Linked DNA regions of Nothobranchius furzeri. The protein of the gene in region 3 purifies or fractionates together with the protein of the main gene of each other region. This does not show direct contact. Links are inferred from orthologs where the notes say so. Each region holds a gene or a part of one and is shown on either strand. Other genes may lie near its edges. The genes, in order: tonsl, ssrp1a and mcm2.

What was found.
Region 1: the proteins of mcm2 (region 3) and tonsl purify together in Homo sapiens (affinity purification with mass spectrometry; 4 studies listed by BioGRID and IntAct, with this or other methods). This does not show direct contact. The link is inferred for Nothobranchius furzeri from reciprocal best matches to the Homo sapiens genes MCM2 and TONSL.
Region 2: the proteins of mcm2 (region 3) and ssrp1a purify together in Homo sapiens (affinity purification with mass spectrometry; 6 studies listed by BioGRID and IntAct, counting the BioPlex papers as one, with this or other methods). This does not show direct contact. The link is inferred for Nothobranchius furzeri from reciprocal best matches to the Homo sapiens genes MCM2 and SSRP1.

Annotation. Positions count from the first base shown.
Region 1 is NC_091758.1:29,049,595-29,056,717, reverse strand, and holds the start of tonsl (tonsoku-like protein), read left to right. Parts: upstream 1-2,847; 5' UTR 2,848-3,284; coding exon 3,285-3,309; intron 3,310-3,387; coding exon 3,388-3,483; intron 3,484-3,695; coding exon 3,696-3,838; intron 3,839-3,922; coding exon 3,923-4,106; intron 4,107-4,187; coding exon 4,188-4,317; intron 4,318-4,414; coding exon 4,415-4,586; intron 4,587-4,654; coding exon 4,655-4,769; intron 4,770-4,851; coding exon 4,852-5,003; intron 5,004-5,088; coding exon 5,089-5,241; intron 5,242-5,443; coding exon 5,444-5,569; intron 5,570-5,664; coding exon 5,665-5,863; intron 5,864-6,110; coding exon 6,111-6,166; intron 6,167-6,259; coding exon 6,260-6,349; intron 6,350-6,523; coding exon 6,524-6,596; intron 6,597-6,678; coding exon 6,679-6,842; intron 6,843-7,123. UniProt on the Homo sapiens protein: Component of the MMS22L-TONSL complex, a complex that promotes homologous recombination-mediated repair of double-strand breaks (DSBs) at stalled or collapsed replication forks.
Region 2 is NC_091741.1:91,652,714-91,659,716, reverse strand, and holds the start of ssrp1a (FACT complex subunit SSRP1a), read right to left. Parts: upstream 4,375-7,003; 5' UTR 4,288-4,374; intron 4,015-4,287; exon of another isoform or gene 3,908-4,014; intron 3,613-3,907; 5' UTR 3,587-3,612; coding exon 3,533-3,586; intron 1-3,532. Other genes in the region: uncharacterized protein clcf1, read left to right, coding at 5,997-6,015. UniProt on the Homo sapiens protein: Component of the FACT complex, a general chromatin factor that acts to reorganize nucleosomes. The FACT complex is involved in multiple processes that require DNA as a template such as mRNA elongation, DNA replication and DNA repair.
Region 3 is NC_091743.1:72,010,243-72,017,419, forward strand, and holds the start of mcm2 (DNA replication licensing factor MCM2), read left to right. Parts: upstream 1-2,788; 5' UTR 2,789-2,884; coding exon 2,885-2,890; intron 2,891-4,081; coding exon 4,082-4,281; intron 4,282-4,352; coding exon 4,353-4,525; intron 4,526-4,618; coding exon 4,619-4,749; intron 4,750-4,815; coding exon 4,816-4,954; intron 4,955-5,037; coding exon 5,038-5,135; intron 5,136-5,210; coding exon 5,211-5,332; intron 5,333-5,420; coding exon 5,421-5,628; intron 5,629-5,712; coding exon 5,713-5,847; intron 5,848-5,957; coding exon 5,958-6,149; intron 6,150-6,230; coding exon 6,231-6,324; intron 6,325-6,400; coding exon 6,401-6,479; intron 6,480-6,658; coding exon 6,659-6,830; intron 6,831-6,935; coding exon 6,936-7,062; intron 7,063-7,177. UniProt on the Homo sapiens protein: Acts as a component of the MCM2-7 complex (MCM complex) which is the replicative helicase essential for 'once per cell cycle' DNA replication initiation and elongation in eukaryotic cells.

The DNA.
Region 1 (7,123 bases), on a different chromosome or scaffold from region 3:
TTATTGAGGCACTAGACTGATTTGTGATTATTTCACTGTCAAATTCTTGCCAGTGGTGGGTGATTTTTTTTACACCATCTGTAGATGTTAGATGTGCTAACTACATATCACCACTAGGGTACGCCAAATTACCATTCTTATGATAGAATCCACATCTTCTACATCATTAATGATGCCGCCCTGCGATGGACTGGCTCTCTGTCCAGGGTGTACCCGCCTACTTGCCCGTTAACTGCTGGAGATAGGCTCCACTCCACCTGCAAAACTCAAGGAACTCAGCAGCAATACAAAGAGCTAATTTCATGAAGTCAAAGCATAAATTCAGTCCTACCTTTGTTGCTTTTTGGTCATAATAATCTGTGTTTTGGTTTAAAAGAAATAACACTTGGTTTGTGTAATCCAACGTCCCAACATTCCTGTCTGTCTTGTGCTTTTTTATTTTTTTTTACCCGCTGGACAGTGTTTACATACCACATTCCATCATTTCCTGGTTCTTCATAATAAAAAAAGGAACAGGAAATTTGTCACAAGATGATTTGATCATGGAAAAAGTGTGAAGTCACATTTTGAAAATGCACTAAATGCAGACTAAACACAGCACGTTTGGTTTGTGTGATGTATAGATTGTTTAGTTTAATTTTCGAGTTTTTTATATATATTCTCTGATTCCTATCTTCTTCTTCTTCCAGGGAAACTAGTGAGGCGATGCTCTAGCGCCCCGCTATGGACGAGCCACCACTGATTCTTACATATTGCACCTTTAATTTAGGCTGTTGAAAAAGTCATTTATTTTGCAGCTGAATCACATTCTCCCTGAGATACAGACGTCTACTACACAGAGACATTTTCTAGTTCTTCCCCAGTTGCGGCAAACATACAAAAATACCTCAAAAACTATCAATCGGATCTGACATATTTTGACATTAAGTGAGAGGAGAAGTAGCTGAAGAGGGGGATGTATAATATGTGCATGGTATGTACAAGTTGTGTCATTAGAAGTTAAACCCAAAACAGAAATTGCAGATGTCAGCTGGTAATTTGGGACATCTCTCTGTTTCTCTCACCTTCACAAACAGGATTCTAATTGTAAAAACTGTAAATACAAATCAATTTAAATAATCACGTAATTGTTATTCAGAGGGATCGCAGTGAGCTGAGTTCTTGAAGGTCCAAATTGACACGATAGATAAAAAAATCGTTTTAGTGTTTTATGAACTTATAGTCAGTGGACTGAGTTGATACTCGTGCTACAAAATAAACATTCTGGTATGACATTTATTGTGTGATCTTTCTCAACAATCAGAAAGCAACTACTCCCTGGAAACGTTCAATTATCATTGTATCTGAGGGCAGAGTTGATTTCTAGGTTCAGATGAGCAAAGATTTCATACCAGATGACCTCAGAAACACACCCGACCCTTCAGAAAACTGTCCCTCAGTTTGGATTATCGATAAGACTACCGGCTCTTTTCCAAATATTGGTATTCCGGTATGAGCTCCACTCAGAAGCTGGGGTTATTATTTTTATCTATTTTCCTTGACACACAACTTAAACCTTGTATTTCCTTGTATTGTCGAAGAAAGACTGATATGCTTGCAGGATGTTTATCACGCTGTTGCATAGTCAACATCATAACAAGAATAGGTCCCCACCTGTCGCCGTGGTAGAAGTCAGTTGTCCAGTAATCGGAAGGTTGCAGGTTCGATCCCGGCTCCGGACAGGGAATTCTGCTGTTGTGTCCTTGGGCAAGACACTTAACCCATCTTGCCTGCTGGTGGTGTTCAGAGGGACCGGTGGCGCCTGTGCTCGGCAGCCTCGCCTCTATCAGTGTGCCCCAAGGCAGCTGTGGCTACATCGTAGCTCATCACCATCAGTGTGTGAATGTGTGTGTGAATGGATGAATGATACATTGTGGTGTAAAGCGCTTTGGAGTCCTTACTCTGAAAGGCGCTACACAAGCGCGGGTCATTTATTTACCACAAAAATTGGGTCCTTTGGTGATTCACTTGCAACTTTATAAATCCAGTTTCCTCTTCTCATTTTTAATATTAATTTTCTCAGGAGGACGAAAATATAGTTTTTTAAAGCTTCATTATAATAAGTAGACTAAAATATTGAGTTCTAAACGAATGAAAATATAAAACGTGCAATTTCAGACGCGGGGGAGCAACTCCCCATCATAACTTCCAGAGAATTGTTCTAGCATTGGCCAGGAGAGGGCGCGAAATCCCCGTTCTTTCTAGGCAACAACACATGCTGAATGGCGGTAGCCTGGCCTGCCAGACTCCTCTGTACAGAGAAAGGGTCTGGGAACTCTCCTATTCAAATAACCCCACCCCGTGAGAATTCCAACCGAGCCAATCAGCATCCAGGCTAGAATAGTGGCCCTTGAGGAACCCGGGTGCAACACAACCGTGGGTTTTGAAAGCTGGAATGGTCATTTTTATTGTGTTTTTAGCTACTAAAATGAAATCACTTTTATAATGAGTTTCCCTGTTGCCAACACCAAAATTAAAAATTTAAAGAATTTAGAAAAAGTATTTCTAACTTTTGCAAATTTATAAATCCAGTTTCCTCGTCTCTTTCTACGATTCATCATTCTCCTGCTTAATATTCATATTCCCAAGAGGATGAAAAGAAATACAGTTTTTAAAAGCTTAATTAAAACAAGGAGGTGAAAATATTCTGTTCTAAATAGATGAAAAGGTCAAAATTGCAGTATCTAATTTCAGACACTGGAGGTCAGTCACTCCCCAACCGCCCTTCATCACCACAGACACTGCCACTGAGCAACACCCATTCTTATTTTGCTTTGTAGCCCTACGTAATAACTGTCAGGCGGTTAAAAGCCTAATTGCAGGGAGAAAAAATCAATTATATTTTTACAATTGTTAAATAATATCAGACTATTGAGTTGAAGGGGCGTACTTTGATTGTTGACCGGCGTTCTCATAGTTTGAACCTGGAGTTTATGCCTGACAGACATTACAGCGGGCAGATAAATATTATCGCTTCATTGAGTGACGTTTTCCTGGCGGGGCAATGCGAAACCAGAAACTTGTAAACGCGAAGCTAAACATGAGTGTTTACGCAGATGATTGATACATGTGAATGTTTTCTTATTGCATACAGTCAGAATCTGAGGCTAATTCTAAACGTAGGCAAACGTATGACGTTGCTAAACAGTTATGAGGCAAATGTCCTGTTAACCGCCAACAGGCAGAGCTAAGCTAACGTTTAGCGCGCTGTTTGTCATTCACTACCAGCTGTCAGTTAAACCAATATGAGCTCTTCACGAGAAATCAAACGTAAGTGTTGCTCTATTTACAGCTGATCTGTTGGTTCCAAAAGGCTAAGATGGTTGTTTTGACTGCTCTTCTCTGCAGAGCTGCTGAAGGCAAAAAGCAAAGCCCAGACCAGCAATCACTTAAAGGAGGAAGCCAACATCTGCAACCAGCTAGGAGAGCTGTTGTCCAGGACTGGTATGAACCTCCACAGTTTTATATTTTTTATTATTATCACAAATGTGCTACCATCGCTTTACATCTTTATGTGACACTCTCTCCCACACACTTTCTGTTGCATATTCTCTGCGCCTTTGCAGCCTTAGATTTTATTATTTATCAATTAAATTTGCTCCCTATTTGTGCTGATGCATATAAAGGTTGTTGTGTTTGATCTGTGCATACCTCAGGTGACTACAAGGCAGCCATCAGGGAACATCAACAGGAGCTAGCTCTCTCTGAGGCTCTAAAAGATGTGATCGGACGCGCTGTGGCCCATCGGAAGATAGGAGAGTGCTATGCAGAGATGGGAAACATCGAGGCTGCTTTGAAAGTAAGCAGACTTGAATGCAAAAATGTTTTTTTAATGCATACCTAAAAGGAGTGTCTTGCTTTTTTTTTTTTTTTTGGTTTCCAGCATCAGCATCATCACCTGGACCTGGCTCGCTCTGTCAGAGATCATGCTGAAGAGCAAAGAGCTCTGGCTACCATTGGTCGTACCTACCTGTTCTGTTATGAATCTGACCAATCGAAGAACAGTTTAAAGCTGGCAGAAGATGCTTTCAGGAAGAGCTTGGCCATTGTGGATGAGCGTCTAGGTGGTGTGTATCGATTGTTTGGGTAACTTGGAATAATCGCGCTCTGGTTAGGTGGTTACGTATGAAGGTTCTTTCAACGTTTAGGGATGGTGTCCGAGCGAGAGATCAGTGAGATGAAGGCTCGGCTTTTCCTCAACCTTGGTCTGGTGTGCGATCATCTAGGGGAGCCCAAACGCTGCAGCGAGTTCATCCGACGTAGCGTCTTCATTGCAGAGTAAGAAGAACATCTCAAAACGATCTCCTAATCGTGGTCATAATACGCTTTAATTCATTTGCCCTGCACAAAGTCTTATGATTTCGTCTTGGAACAGGAGGAGCCAGCTGCTAGAGGATCTCTACCGGGCCAACTTTAACTTGGGCAACATCTACTTCCGCAACGGCCAACACTCCAACTCTGTCCGCTGTTTGGAGCAGGCCAAAGAGTGTTCCCGGAAGATGAAAGACAAGTTTGCTGAGAGTGAATGCTTTCACTGCATTGGCAAGGTAGGAGTACCCTTCTACTGTTCGTCACTGCATTTTCACAGGCTCTGATGACTCAGACTCACATCCAGGTGCAGCTGTCTCTGGGGGATTTTGTAGCTGCCAGACGATCTCTAAAGAAGGCTCTACTGTTGGGTTCTCAACAACCAGCAGACAAGCAGGCAGTGAAGAAAGCTTTTAAATATGGTGAGAGGGTTTTTGTTTGTTGGTTTTTGATCGTATTTCCTCACAGATGCATTAACAACATGACGTGTGTGTAATACCGTAGCTGATCGAGGCTGTAGGTTAGAGGAAGAGCTGGGGGAAGATCAGGAGAAGAGTTTCTGCTCCCATCGGGCTGTGGAGCTGTCGGAGCAGCTAGGGGATCTTTACTGTAAGGTTGGCTGCTACAGCAAAGCTCTGGAGGCTTACCAGGCTCAGGTGAGACACCTAAGAGAAAACAAAATGCTCCATTTTAACTTTAGCTCTTGAAATTAGCTGGATTGTAATTTCTCCTGTGAATTAGCTGAAAGGTGCTGAGATGATGGCGAAACCGGCGCGGGAGCTGGCTGTGATCCACGTGTCCCTGGCTGCTACCTGCACAGACCTGAGACAACACGACAAGGCCGTGGAGCACTACAGGAAGGAGCTGGCTTTACGACAGGGCAGCTCTACAGAGGTGCACCTTCACCCCATAACACCAAGATAGATAACTTATTACTGTGGAAGAAACGACAGATTTCCTCTGTTGGACTGAATTAACTAACATATTTGCAGGCATGGTTGTTAAAAATCTACTCTTATTAAATCACAGAGCTTGTTTTAACCAACAGCTAATGCATGCGCATAACTACTGGTGTGTGTGTGTGTGTGTGCGTCAGGAGTGTAGCACATGGCTGAACATCGCAGCAGCTCAGGAGGAGAGTGGCTGCATATCTGAGGACATAGAAGGCAGCTACAGATCAGCTTCACGCTGTGCAGAGGCGTCCGGGGAGGTCCGACTGCAGGTGAGGAAATGTGACATAAAGTATTTAAATAGAAGCAGCATTTTTATCACAGCTTTACTACAGGTCTATGTAAAAGTTCATCTTACGTCCCACAGAAACGCACGCTGAGACTCTGGCTGGCCTTCCAAAGACGGAGCGGCTCATCGGAAGCAGATGACACGGCGGCGAAGCTGCAAGAGCTTTGTGCCTCAAAGGGCTGTGATCCAGAGGAGAGTGATGGGGAGGAGGATGAGGAGGAGGAGACGGACAACACCGAAACTCTGGAGGACAGCGATGTCGTTCTCTCAGACTCAGGTAGACAGATTCATCTGCCTTGTTGTCGTTCTTTTTTAAAACACAGAAACGGTTTTGTTACCTGTTACTGACGCTACAGTTTCGCCGACGGCTGCCGGCTTCTTCAGGCTGACGCTGATAAAGGAGAAGGAAGACTTGGAATTAGAACATGGAATTAGAAATAACGCACAGCAAGAACACACCTAAGATTCATCTGCCTCCCTACAGGGGGCTGAACTTGTGATATTTATATTTATTTGCCTTTCAGATGATGATTTAGAGGGTTACGACAAAATGGTGTCAGGAAGAAGAAAGACAGGGAGGGTGAGTTAATTCATTATCAGTTAAATTATCTTTGGTTTCCTTAATTCAGACGTTAAACTTTTTGCCTTTTTTGCACTCGTGTGTTCGATTTAGTGGAATAAGAGGAACGAGAAGGGAGAGACGTCTCTCCACAGAGCGTGTATCGACGGAAACCTGAAGCAAGTCCAGTGTCTGGTAGAGCAGGTGAAAAACCGTTGAACTGTGAATCTTTTATCATGAGTGAGCTTCATGAAAATAAAAGTGTGTGTGTGTGTGTGTGTGTGTGTGTGTGTGTGTGTGTGTGTGTGTGTGTGTGTGTGTGTGTGTGTGTGTGTGTGTGTGTGTGTGTGTGTGTGTGTGTGTGTGTGTGTGTGTCAGGGTCACCCAGTAAATCCCAGGGACTACTGTGGCTGGACTCCCCTCCACGAGGCCTGCAACCATGGTCACTATGGTAACCGAGCTCTGTTCTGTTGTTAGAAATCAGTCCAGTCCAGATGTTTTCACTTACATTCTGTATCTCCGCTGTCATCCAGATGTGGTGGCCTTGCTACTGGAGCGTGGCGCCAACATCAACGATCCCGGCGGGCCCCTCTGTGAGGGAGTGACTCCTCTGCACGACGCCCTCGCTTGTGGGAATTTAAAAGTTGCACGACTGCTGGTGGAACGAGGAGCTTCTGTCACACTCCGCAACTCCAAGGTTGGTTGGATTTCTGTAGAGGTTGCATTACAAATATTTACTTTTGTAAATCAAATCAAAGATACTTTATTAATCCCAGAGGGAAATTAGAGTTATTAGTCAGCCTCATTTCACTCAGGTATCATTTTACACATAGAAACCATCTAAACTTGATGAAATCACAATTTTGTTTGTATTTTCTGTGCAAATAAGTCATTTGATTCTAAGAATTTAAAGATTTAATTAAATGACTAATATTACTGTATTTTTTTATTATTGTTTTTGCAACTTGGAGGAAAAAA
Region 2 (7,003 bases), on a different chromosome or scaffold from region 3:
CATCAAGCTGCAGCAGCACGGTGCGGGTGGATAAAGACAGGCTCAAAATAAGGATAGGACTGGACGCCGACTGATGTGGTTTTTTTAAGGCCGATGCAGATACCGATTTTTAAAGAATTTTGTTGCCGATATCTAAAGCAGATTATATATATATGTATATATATATATATACATTTTAGCAGCACATTGATTGTGAAAGACAACTGAACACTCACAAGCCACGTTTACATGTGCGCAATTAATCAGACTGAACGCCCAATCAAATCAAAATTTCTGCATGTAAACATGTCAACCGGAACGTTCTGATCCGATTCGGCCCGATCGGTATGAAATTTCAATCCTATTGAGAGAGGTGGTTTTGTCCAATCATCATTCCGATTGGCGTGCATGTACACAGCCATTCGGACTGTTGGGAGTAAAATAATGCCCACTGCGCATGTGAGCAACAGCTAGCGAGCCTCCCCGTCGTCATTTGGACTAACTGACTTTTAAAATGACGACCTAATTAACGAGCGCCAGCTTTTAAAATGGATGGCAAGCCGTCCCTGTTTCAGTAATATCTAATCCAGAACTTGCATTTTGTGGAAGCAAAGTAAAAATCTGATTATTGCAGTAAAGACTGTCCCGGAAACACCAGATTCATTTCAGGTTTGCAGCACAGATCCCTGTTTCCGTGACCGCAGCAGCCGTTTCTGCAGCAGGTGGATGAAGACGTGATCGTAAAGAAGACAGGGTAACAACGGTTAATCAGACCTGGTTTGAGTAGTTAAGTAGAAAAACATCCTCAGTTCAATATTCTGGGCGACTATCTGTGTAAAAGCACGTTAACGCAGATGAGATGCGGTTCGTTTAACACATGATGAACACAGGCTTACAAACTTCTGAACATCTCCTGTTATTTAGTTTGAACCAACTTTTCACAACAGTTTCAGCCGATTGTCACATTTTATTAATAATAAACCACAACAGAGCTCAGTAATAAAACACGAGTCTTATTATCATGATAAGAGTCAGAAATTTCGACAACGATAAATTTTAGATTTATTGCCCAGCCCTACTCAAAACATAAAAAAACTGTTAGGGTTCTTTGGGTCCTTTCTTCAGTCTAGTAGTGGCAGCAGTCGGGCACACCTGATTTATTTATTTATTTGTTTTAATCGGCTTTTAAAAATAATTTCGGCCGATATAGAAAAAACTTGAAATTATCGGTCCGATCTATCGGTCAGCCTCTAGATGGGACAATGTTGGTTATACAGACCTGGTCTGGGTTGGATGTTGAGCAGAAAAGCATCCTCAGTAAAACATGCTGGCTTAACGAGCTTTTATCTCCGTTAATAGCTCGCTCAACAAAGTTCCCTTTAATGCCATTTGATTTTCTTTAACACATAATGAACACACAGGCTTTCAAACCTTTTGGACATCTCCTGTGTTTTAGTTTGAACAATTTTTCCTCCACAGTTTCAAAGATTTCTCTTGCTTATAAAAAAGTTTGAGTCTGAAAATGGCTGCCCTCTCTCGCTCTACGCTGCCTGTGTGCACAGCGTTCAGACCTGCTGATCAGCTGATCTGAGCGCCGCCCGACAACAGGGAGAGGAATATAATAAACCTTCAGCCTCATTTTACTGTTGTTGGCATAAAAATAATAACAATAAAAAGAAACACAAACAGGAACATTGTAACCTCCATTTACTTTGGACAGAAAATCAAAGACTGCACTAAACCGTCAAAGATGGATGATCCCTAAACCCATAACTAGAGGAATGATGGTAACCAATCACACAACGGGGACACGTGTTATATATTTTAGTAAGCCAAGTTTTAATGTAATGATGTAGGATCCTACACCCAGTAAACATTTAGTACAAATAGAAAAAGCATGTACTCTGTAGGATTTCGCCAGCATTGTCTGCATGGTTGACCCAGAATTCAGAGCAGATGTAAAATACCATCAGCTGCTAGATTTCTACACACGAGGAACTTGGATTAAAACAGATTCTTATTTAAGGTTTTTAAGGGTTTGTTTGGTAGAACGGGGTCGTTTGGGCATTTTAGGACATAATTCACTATCAGTTATAAAAACAGCAGAAACAACTTTAAAATATTTTGCTCCTTTTTAGATTCAACATCAAAGTTTAAAGCAGAACCACAAAATACTGACCTCATCTCAATTAGCATTTAATAATCATTCTGTTAAATGATGATTTACATAAAAACTGAGTTATATTCTATTTTTCATTTGACTTAAAGGCAGCTCCATCAGAACATCCCACTATACAAACATGTTTATCCTCATTTGGTCCTTCGTGTTGAGACGACGTTGGTAATTGTAAAGGTGTTACTTATAACTGCTCTTTAGAGAATGCTGTGTGGTGCACTAATCCGTGTCACAATAACATTTAATGTAAAACACTAAGATATAAATATACACACTGTTCTAGGGGTGGTGGGTATAATCTATTTTCTGATGCATCAATGTGGGCATAAATGATTCTGAATGGATTTAAAGATGTTAAAAAATAAATAATTTACATAAACGGTAATTAATGACACAATGCTGAGGGACGCAAAAGGCAGAACCTTTAGGAGCAGAGGTGCAACATCTGGACCGTTTAGGAGGAGCTCACATCACAAACGAGTTCTGCCCATGAGGGTCAGGACATCCTGGGTTTGATGATATCTGGAACTTAGCTGTAATTTAAATGTTCTGAAATTAATTTGAAGTGATTCAGACTCTTTTGAGGCTAAATGTGAATGTTTTCTATTCTGATTTTTTTGTTGGGGGGTATTTGTGTACTCTTATCAGATATCAAAATGGTTAAAAAGGCAAGTCTTCAGTTTAATTCACAATAATTCACATTATTCAAACTCCAGTTTGTATTTGTATATGAAAGCTGTGATTTCAAGATGGGAACATGAAAAGATTGATTTTGTTCCATTCGTTAAAAAATTACTGAATGTAAATTAATTTGGGGTTACGAAAACACTTTTCCATAAAAGTACCTGATGCACACCAGTCACACAGAGGAGAGGTGAGGGGAAGACATGTTTTTATTTATTTATTTCTGTATGAAACTATCTGATCAATTAAATGAAATCACAAGGGGCCTTAAAGATTATTTGCTACTAATAAGATGCTTTAATGAGGAAAAAAAAGAGTTATTGCTGATTTCTGAAGGAGTGTCTGAATCACATTTGATAGATTATGATAAAACATGACGTTACTCCTGCCCTATGACACGAGTGATGTAAACTTGTGTTGGCAGATGAAAGCATACATCACAGATACAGTGGTCAAATGAACATCCTCTTGGATCTTCTTGACTAAATTCTGATGCCATGTTGATATTCAGTTGACACCTTCAAATAGTAACAAGGGGAAAAACCTTCTGAAATTGACTTTTTTTTGTGATTTAAGGATACAAGTGTTATCAGATAACCAGGATCCTATCATGCTGTGGGTTACATACTGAACGTGCAAACACACAATCATTTAGTAGAGATGTAAAATAAAAGGCAGGGTGAAGGAACTGACCCAAGAGCCTTTGACCTCCTGGTAGATCTCGTTGAACTCCAGTGTGTCCCCCATGTCGGCTCCAGGCGATGACTGACGCTCTATACACAGGTAAACGGCATCAGTTCCAACCAAACATCAACAAGTTCATTACAAAATGAAATATTCTGTGCTGTTTTCCAAATGTTAGTCATTCTGAAGCATCGAGACGCTCAGATGATGATTTTTATCTTAATGGGACCTTCCTGGTTAAACAAAGATGAAATCTGACCTAACGTTATCTCAACGGTTACGTTTGCTTATTTTTTTTACTGTGTGCCCATTTAAAATAGTTAAAAATCTACCCAACAATATTGTAAAATACAATCTGAAGAGCAGAAATGTTTACAATCCCACCGTGACACAAGTAAAGGCTGTGTCACTCCGTTTGTCAGCACCATCAAGCATGCTCCATCACTCACAATAGCTAAGCTAGCATAGGTGCACTTGCTACGCTTCTTTTGAGTACCGATGTTTAACCGAGTCGTAATTTTGGTTGTAGGAAATGGCACGAACAACAGCACCGCCCCGCAGCAATGCAAAGTACACCGAATCGAGCGCAACAAAAAAAGAAGCTAGGCCGGTTTTGGAAAACAAGTACTATTTTATGGTCTACATAACAAAGAAATCAAATTCAGTTGAGGCGCGTGAGCAAACCTATCTTCTGTTGATTAGTTTCTCTCACAAACAAGTTTTTATCCACAGGAGAAAAGGCAGTTTTTTAAACGTAGACTTACAATCACTGAGATGTGCAGATTCGTTTCCCGCGTGTAGCATCAGGAGCTAGTGTGACGTCACAGGAAACAACAGCAGGAGTATGCGTTTCTTTCCGGTTTGCCAAAAGGTTTTTTTAAGCATTCTATATTTTTTGACTAAACACTTTCCCATTTGTATAAGATGTAAATGTGTTTGTATTAACGAGTTTTTAAAGATATATCAAACTAATAGTGGCATGATTTTACGGAGTCTGCGCAGACCAGAGAATGGTGCAGTGACCCCGATATACCACTACAGGGCGCACAATCCCTCCAAGAGCCTGAAGAGTCCTGTCGTTACTTGTGTTATAAATCTCTTGTTAGAAGAACATTAAATACTGAGCGAAGCGACGCAAATTTGGTTCATTTTTGCTTTAAAATACATTCAGATGTGCTAGCCACAATCTATAGTGTGAACAGATATTCACGTTTTCATTTTACAAGAAAAAGGCAAGAACTGGTGTTACAGTGAGGATCGGATCAGATTAACCTGCTGAGGTAGCACAGTTTGGAAACGAAGTCTGATACTTGATAGTAACTTGATTAAATAAAATAATGCAAGAGGATAATAGTTAACAAAGTACAGAAATACAATTAGAACACAGGGCCCGAAAGCCAGTCATAATAGCACCATGTCAGATGAGTGTGCTTTAGTGATCCACATAGTCTCAATTAAATATCTTGTTAAATTAAAAAAATAAATAAATAAAACAAGAGTTTTGGGTCTCCCTTCGATTAATCCTGAGGATCTGCTGTCAGTCCACATTAACAAGGCCACAATTCAAACGCATACCCCGCGTGACCTGAACAGATATGGAAAACCTGCCAGATTAAGGATTTTTTTTTCAAGAAACTGCTGCATCCTGCCAGATTATGTGAGATTGGAAAATGAGATCAATGTCGTCTGTTGTTAAACAAAAGGTTTAAACAGAAGAGTTGCTTAAAACATTTAAATGTGATTAGTGTATGCGTTTCTTATATTTTAAACACGCAATTTTAAAGAAAATGTTTTTGTTTTTTTTGCGACAAATTGGAAATGATGGATTAAACGCAGACGAAGTGTTTTCATCATTTACAGTAAATTTTAAAGCGTTCCATTAAAACGCGTCTTTCTCTCCTTTCTGAAGTTAAACGGTCCCTCTAATCCCTGTTTCCTGGAGCATTTGGATCGTGGAGTTTCTGCCCTGTCCTCCTGGCCCGAGGTGACCCGATCCGGGCCGAGGTGAGTCGATCCGGTCCGACTCGTTACCTTATTAAAGGGAAGCAGATTAAAGATCAAACGCCGCTGTCAGCTCGCGTTCGCGGAGATGAGAGACAGAAATGAGTTGTGACAAGTCCCGTGGTTCGAGCTGAGCCGTGATGCGTCAACCTGGTGAATCACCGCAGAGGAGGAGAACAGGGGAAGAAGAGGAGACAGGGATGGAAAAGAGGGGAGGAATGGGAGAAAAAGAGGAGGAGGAGGAGGTACAAAAAGAGCTCCGCCGTCATTCCGTCTGTCACACAGACCACACAAGTCAGAGGATAAATTTAAACGACGTCCTGAGGAAGGTTACTCTCAAATTTATTTTTCTTTTTTTTATTTTGAACAAAAAAGTTCGTTCATCCTGTAAAGACCGAGTCACCACATCACCTGTGTTAAAAAGTTACGAATTTCTTTTTAGTTGAGATTGGAATTAACGGTTCTGGAGACCATGAGAAGCTTTGGTAAAGGTAAGATCATGAATCTAGTTATCTTATTAAAACCTGTGGATATAAATCATTATTATTACATCTTTTAGACACGTATTGCATTAAAAGTCACAAAACAGATTATTCTTAAAAAAGCAACAAAAGACTATTTACAATAGTATTTATAGACAAAAAAGGACTTTGTCAAATTAAACGTTATTTATTTATAATGTCACTAATACTAGTAATAGTAATTATTATTAGTAGTAAACAATGTTTTTTAACAATAGAACAAAAACAATTAAAAGTGTGTGTGTGTGTGTGTGTGTGTGTGTGTGTGTGTGTGTGTGTGTGTGTGTGTGTGTGTGTGTGTGTGTGTGTGTGTGTGGTCTCACACCCTGACTAAAGTGAATAATGTACTTTCTCATATCAGTGACAGCTACCTAGACAGGAGCTTCTGACCCCATCAAATTCACACACACACACACACACACACACACACACACACACACACACACACACACACACACACACACACACACACACACACACACACACACACACACACACACACACACACACACACACACACACACACACACACACACACATTTATCTGTTCAGGTACATCCAGAAACACCCGTAACTCCTCACATGGCTCTGATGCAACACTCAGAGGGAAAACCAGCAGGGAGACGAATTAGTGTCGGTGTGTTTCAGATAAAACCTTTAGTGTGTCTTGGATCAGGGGCCGACCAATCACAGGAAACAATAGGAGGAAGGAGGAGGGGAGGAGGAAGCGGGAGGATGAAGTGAACCCTTCACTGCGTTTGATTGGCTGGAGCCATCCTCGATTCTTCATGGTGCACATGTCAGGAGGGTAGTGGTGGTTGTGTGTGTGTGTGTGTGTGTGTGTGTGTGTGTGTGTGTGTGTGTGTGTGTGTGTGTGTGTGTGTGTGTGTGTGTGTGTGTGTGTGTGTGTGTGTGTGTGTGTGTGTGTGTGTGTGTGTCAGAGGGGTATGAAAGCAAA
Region 3 (7,177 bases):
CTTACTTTGGTACCAGGTAGTGCTCGAGGCACTTAGTATGCATGTATAGGTGGCCTAGTGTTCTTTTTTCCAAATCTCATTTTATCCTATCTCAAAAACGGCACGTTAGCTTTTTGTACTTACTTTGAAGTACAATAGCTGAAAAAGTACACAGTAAAAGTAGTTCATACTTTGGTACCAGGTAGTACTCGTCGTGGCACTTAGTAAGTATGTTTAGGTGACCTAGTGTCCTTTTTCCCAAATACCATTTTATCCTATCTCAAACACAGCAATTTTGGCTTTTTGGACATACTTTGTAGTACAATTACTGAAAAAGTACACAGTAAAAGTAGTTCATACTTTGGTACCAGGTAGTACTCGAGGTATGCATGTATAGGTGGCCTAATGTCCTTTTTCCCAAGTACCATTTTATCCTATCTCAAACACGGCACATTTAGCTTTTTGTTTGTACTTTGAAGTACAATTACTGAAAAAGTACATGAAAAAAGTAGTTCATACTTTGATACCAGGTAGTACTTGAGGTACTTAGTATGCATGTATAGGTGGCCTAGTGTCCTTTTTCCCAAATACCATTTCGTCCCATCTCAAACTCGGCACTATTGGCTTTTTGTACATACTTTGAAGTAGAATTACTGAAAAAGTACACAGTAAAAGTAGTTCATACTTTAGTACCAGGTAGCACTCGTGGTACTTAGTATGTATGCATAGGTGACCTAGTGTCCTTTTTCCCAAATACCATTTTATCTCATCTCAAACACGGCAATTTTGGCTTTTTTGGACAACTTGTAGTACAGTTACTGAAAAAGTACTAAAAGTAGTTCATACGTTGATACCAGGTAGTAATCGAGGTACTTAGTATGCATGTATAGGTGGCCTAGCCCTAGTGTCCTTTTCCCCAAATACCATTTAATCCCATCTTAAACTTGCCACTTTTGGCTTTTTGGACATATTTTGAAGTACAATTACTTAAAAAGTACTCAGTAAAAGTAGTTCATACTTTAGTACCAGGTAGTAATAAAGGTACTTAGTATGCAAGTATAGGTGGCCTAGTGTTCTATTTCCCAAATACCATTTTATCCTATCTCAAACACGGCACATTTAGCTTTTTGTACATAATTTGAAGTACAATTACTGACAAAGTGCACAGTAAAAGTAGTTCATACTTTGTTACCAGATAGTACTCGACATACTTAGTATGTGTGTATAGGTGGCCTAGTGTCCTTTTTCCAAAAAGCCATTTTATCCTATCTCAAACTCGGCACTTTTGGCGTTTTGGACATTTTGAAGTACAATCACTGAAAAAGTACACAGTAAAAGTAGTTCATACTTTGGTACCAGATAGTACTCGAGGTACTTAGTATGTATGTATAGGATGCTTAGTGTCCTTTTTTTAAAACACAATTCTATCCTTTATCAAAGAGGTACATTTTGCAGGTCTGTGTCATCCTGATAGCCCATTATGTCGCTCATCTCAGCTCCTCTCCAGCAGCGAGACGGGTGTTGCCGTAAACTATCGTGTAAACGCGCACTTCAATTGTAGGTGCGGCTCACTTGACCGCAGTCTGATTTTGCCCCAACATGCAGCAGAGTGGAACAGAATCAGAGTTTCTCCCTGCTTTATTGATGACTGCTTTTTTTTTTACACAAACATTAATGGTGCAGCGTTGAGGTCCTGCAACAGCTGATGCTCTGTTCTCGAATTGTTGACCTGGTTTTGCTCAGCTGCAAGACTGAGTGGAGCTTGTTTTCAACAAAGACTCAAGTATTTCTGCTCACATCATCCCAGCCAATCAGAGCCTACCTGCAAAGCTTCTCAGCCAATAGGAGGCTCAGAAATCCATCCTCCTCCTCCTGTCCTGCAGCATTTCAGTGACTCATAAGAAACATCTCAGGACTTCGCCCAAATCACAGAATAGTCCTGGTTGTGGTTCTACAACAGATTCAGTGAGATCCTTTCAAAGAGCCAAATATCACAGAACTCAACTAACAGTTTCAACTCATTAATTATATTAGTCATGGCTCTAAAAAGGTCCTCGTCTTTGTATGACCTGCATGCCAAGTGAATCAAATGAAACAATAACCAATGGATGGTTTTGTATTATTATGAATAACACTAATAGTGTTATTTCTCTTGTGATGAACGTAGTGATATTAATTCATAAGTTTAGCCGTGGTCTTATTATTATTATTATTATTATTATTATTATTAAACATGCTATCTATCTATCTATCTATCTATCTATCTATCTATCTATCTATCTATCTATCTATCTATCTATCTATCTATCTATCTATCTATCTATCTATCATCTATCTATCTATCTATCTATCTATCTATCTATCATCTATCTATCTATCTATCTATCTATCTATCTATCTATCTATCTATCTATCTATCTATCTATCTATCTATCTATCTATCTATCTATCTATCTATCTATCTATCATCTGTCTGTCTGTCTGTCTGTCTATCTGTCTGTCTGTCTGTCTGAACTAAGCAGTTATTTGTAAAATAATCCACCCAATTTCCGAAACTCTTGAAGAAATTGAACGCATACTATCTACGTCACGAACACCACACAAGGAGGGTTTGTTTGTTTATCTCTGCGGCTCAGGCCGCTGAAGGGTGGTATCTACCGAGACCATCCGAGACACCGCAGATTCAGCTGCTAGTCAGCGACAAAACCGAACAAATCGTAAAGGAAGACCCGCCCCTTGAAATCTGGTCAGCCAATGAGAAAGACCAGCATCGGCATTCTCTTTGAATATTCATATTCATTCGCGGGCTTTGAGCTCCACGTGGTCGATTTCGCGCGAAAAGGGACAACCGGGCAGGAAGAAGAAGCAGCGTCGTCCACTGAAGCAGCAGCAGCTCAGTTCAGCAATGGCGGTGAGTTACAGTAAAGCCGTGAAAAACAACAAAAACGGGCTTTAATTAGGTTTTATTGCTTAAACGAAAGAAGATGCCGTTTATTAACTCCAGTTTATCGCTGTAGTTTTTGCTGACTTATCTCGTTTGTGGAAACAAGCACACAAAGACTTTCACTGTTTAAGAATCCGAACTTTTCTTTTGGAAATCAGGATTAGTTTTAGATGTTTTAATGCAGAATCGTGACCGACAACGATGCTGACGAGTGTTTTATTTAGTTTTACGTTATTAGAAACAATAATTATGGTGTTTGTAACGGAGAGCTGCCATGTGGCAGCTTCAGTTTGTCTGATTTTTATGCATTCAAGTCGAGTTTTTGAGATTTAAACGTATAGAAAGTCCAGATTATCTCACGTAAATCAGCCGAAAATCTCCTTTAGTTACAACAACACAGAAGTGACTGATCGTGTCCTCATGTGGCCTTTTCTTTATTTAACAACTGTTTAATAAAGTGGTCTCCTTTAAAAATAGCTGAAGACTCACTTGTTCATGCTGGCTTTTGTATGACCTTCTTCACCACTCTCTTTATTCTGCTCTCCCCACCTATTCCACCTTCCTCAGGATCCACTGATTTCCCTCTTTCCTATTCACTCCCTCTCTTTCTTAACATTTTTTTAATCACAATTGTCTATTTATGCTCATTTTAAATATATTGTTAAACATTTTCTAAATGCTTTTTTATATTTTTACATTTTTTATCTTCAGAGGCGCTATAGAAATGATACTTTCTTCTTCTTCTTTACTCTGAGCTGTTTCTTGTCTGCTGTACGCAGATTATTCATCAGGGAAAACATTTCCCTTGTTATTTCGGATTATTTAAAATTGCACCAAGAGGTTCTTCTATACCCAGAAACCCGTTATTGTAATCTTTCAAAATAAAACAAATTAAGACAACTAACAATAACTCAAACTAAACTTAGTTTGGTTTTATACAGTAAACGTTAAAATGCTCCACTGAAAAGCTCTTGAGCTGTTTGATGTTCTGGTCATTTAGTTTTTTCTTTTTATCTAATTAAGACATGGGGGGGGGGGGGGTTAAAACAAAATTTCTGCACTTTAGTTTATTTTGTTTAACATTACGATTGCACCCTCCAATTGCCTGCAAGGGTTACCGATCAGCCCGTTTGGAGATGTAACTGTTGTTGTTGACAGGATTCCTCTGAGTCGTTCCACGTGATCACCAGCCCCAACCGACCCTCCAGGAGAGGAGACCTGACCTCCAGCCCAGGACGGGACCTGCCCCCATTTGAGGATGAGTCCGAGGGGCTGCTTGGGGACGGACCCCTGCCTGGGGGTCTGGAGGAGGAGGAGGAGGCAGACGGGGAGGATCTGATTGGAGATGGGATGGAGAGGTGAACACCAGTTTGTGAGATCAGAAGCTTGTTTGGAAGCTTCATAATGATAAGTGGATCTACTCTTCCAGAGATTACCGCCCCATTCCGGCACTGGACCAATACGAGATGGAGGGCTTGGATCTGGATGACGAGGATCTGTCGGAGCTGTCGCCGGGAGCTCGAGCCGCTGCCGAGGAGGCGATGAGGAGGAGGGACCGGGAGCAGGGCCTCAGTGGACGTCTGAGGAGAGGACTCCTTTATGGTGAGGATGGAGATGAGCGGACCCATTTCTGGAGAACGGCTTTAATCCAATTGAATGAAAACACTGAAAGTGTTGCCTTGTTGCTGTTTTCAGACAGCGAAGACGAGGACGATGAGCGTCCTGCCGCCCGGCGAAGACGTCTGGCTGAGCGCGCCGCTGAGGGCATCGCAGATGGAGATGAGGAGGAGATGATCGAGAGCATCGAGAACCTGGAAGACATGAAGGTTTGTGGAGCTCTTTCAGGCCTCTCTACCGTCACATTGGGTTTTTAATCCCCTCCCGTCCTTCAGGGACACACGGTGAGGGAGTGGGTGTCTATGGCAGCTCCGCGGCTCGAGATCTACAACCGCTTCAAGAACTTCCTTCGGACCCACGTGGACGAGAATGGCCACAACGTGTTTAAGGAGAAGATCAGCGACATGTGCAAAGGTAGCTGAGATCTCTGCTACGGAGGAACGGTGGTGGAGAGGAGTTGAAAAACCTTAATCCTGCTTTTTGTCCCGATGTCTCAGAGAATAAGGAGAGTCTGGTGGTGAACTACGAAGACCTCGCTGCCAGGGAGCACGTTCTGGCCTATTTCCTCCCAGAAGCTCCAACGGAGATGCTGAAGGTGAGTTTTTATCATCGTGGAAGTCAAAATATAATTAGGACTTTTTCTAATGAACCCAAACATTTCTCTTGTCAGATTTTTGATGAAGCAGCCAAAGAAGTAGTTCTCACCATGTATCCAAAATACGACCGCATCGCTCACGAGATCCACGTCCGGATCTGTAACCTGCCGCTGGTCGAGGAGATTCGATCGCTCAGGTAGCGCAGCTTCCAGGCTCTTAAACATCTCCGCGATGCTGTTAAAGTCCTGTGTTGTTCACAAACGTTCTTCTGCTCTGGTCCTCAGGCAGCTCCACCTGAACCAGTTGATCCGGACCAGCGGCGTGGTGAGCAGCTGTACCGGAGTCCTGCCTCAGCTCAGCATGGTTAAATACAACTGTAACAAGTGCAGCTTCGTGCTCGGACCCTTCTTCCAGTCCCAGAACCAGGAGGTGAAGCCAGGATCCTGCCCGGAGTGTCAGTCGCAGGGGCCCTTCGAGATCAACATGGAGGAGGTGAGCGCTGATATTTAAAAAACAACAAAAAAACACTTAAATTGGACGTTCTGAGAGGAACCTGGATGTTTTTCCTTTGGACAGACGGTGTACCAGAACTATCAGAGGATCACCATCCAGGAAAGTCCTGGAAAAGTGGCGGCTGGCCGACTCCCTCGCTCCAAAGACGCCATCCTGCTGGCCGACCTGGTGGACAGCTGCAAGCCCGGAGACGAGATCGTGAGTTCAAATCTGCTTTCAGGAGTTCCGGGATACTCCCGAACGTCTGAGGGATAAAACTGACCGCTAGCTCGGTTGGTGGCACATTTTCATCGTGCTTTCCTCATCAGGAGCTGACGGGAATCTACCACAACAACTACGACGGCTCTCTGAACACAACTAATGGATTCCCGGTGTTCGCCACAGTGATCATGGCCAATCACATCACTCGCAGGGATGAGGGCGTGGCCGTGGCCGAACTCACAGACGAAGACATCAAGGCCATCGTTGCCCTGTCCAAAGACGAACGCATCGGAGAGAGGGTGAGGCACACAGTTGTCGGATCAGAACCCAACAGGGTCGCCGGTTCTCTTAAACGACTCTGGTTGTTGTGATGAGTGCAGATCTTCGCTAGCATGGCGCCGTCCATCTACGGACACGAGGACATAAAGAGAGCTTTGGCTCTGTCTCTGTTTGGAGGAGAGTCCAAAAATCCAGGTACTGACTCCCGGCTGAAATCCAGATCGCGTCGGGTCGGATGTTCGTTAATGCTGCTCGTCTGATTCTCCTGCAGGCGGCAAACATAAAGTACGTGGAGACATCAACGTGCTGCTGTGCGGAGACCCGGGAACTGCCAAGTCCCAGTTCCTTAAGTAAGGCACCAAACACGATCCTGCAGATGATCACCACACAGTCCGAGTTCTGTTCCAAGGGTTCGCCAACATCCAGATCAAACATCAGGAAACACATTAGCATAACAAAGATGGACGGTGGAGCAGGAAGTGATGCTGAGCAGGAAGTGGTTTGTTTGATCAGGCGTTTTCCTCCACAGGTATGTGGAGAAGGTGGCGAGTCGAGCTGTGTTCACCACGGGTCAGGGGGCGTCCGCCGTCGGTCTGACAGCCTACGTTCAGAGACACCCGGTGACCAGAGAGTGGACCTTGGAGGCTGGAGCGCTGGTGCTGGCCGACCGCGGCGTGTGTCTGATCGATGAGTTCGATAAGGTGAGTTGAGACCCGTTCGGTCCCTTCGGGAGAACGAAGATGAGATTACCTCTCGCTGATAATTGAATGAGAACTTCATAACCCTTCGTGGCCTTTGACCTCCAGATGAACGATGCTGACAGGACGAGTATCCACGAGGCCATGGAGCAGCAGAGCATCTCCATCTCCAAAGCTGGCATCGTCACCTCGCTGCAGGCTCGCTGCACCGTCATCGCTGCGGCAAACCCCATCGGTACGTCAGAGCCACGACCCGTCTGTAACCGTGGAAACGTCGTTCATTTTATTAGATTGTGTTTAAAACAACCAACCAGCTGCCTGACAGCAGATCCTTCAGGCCCACAGAGAGC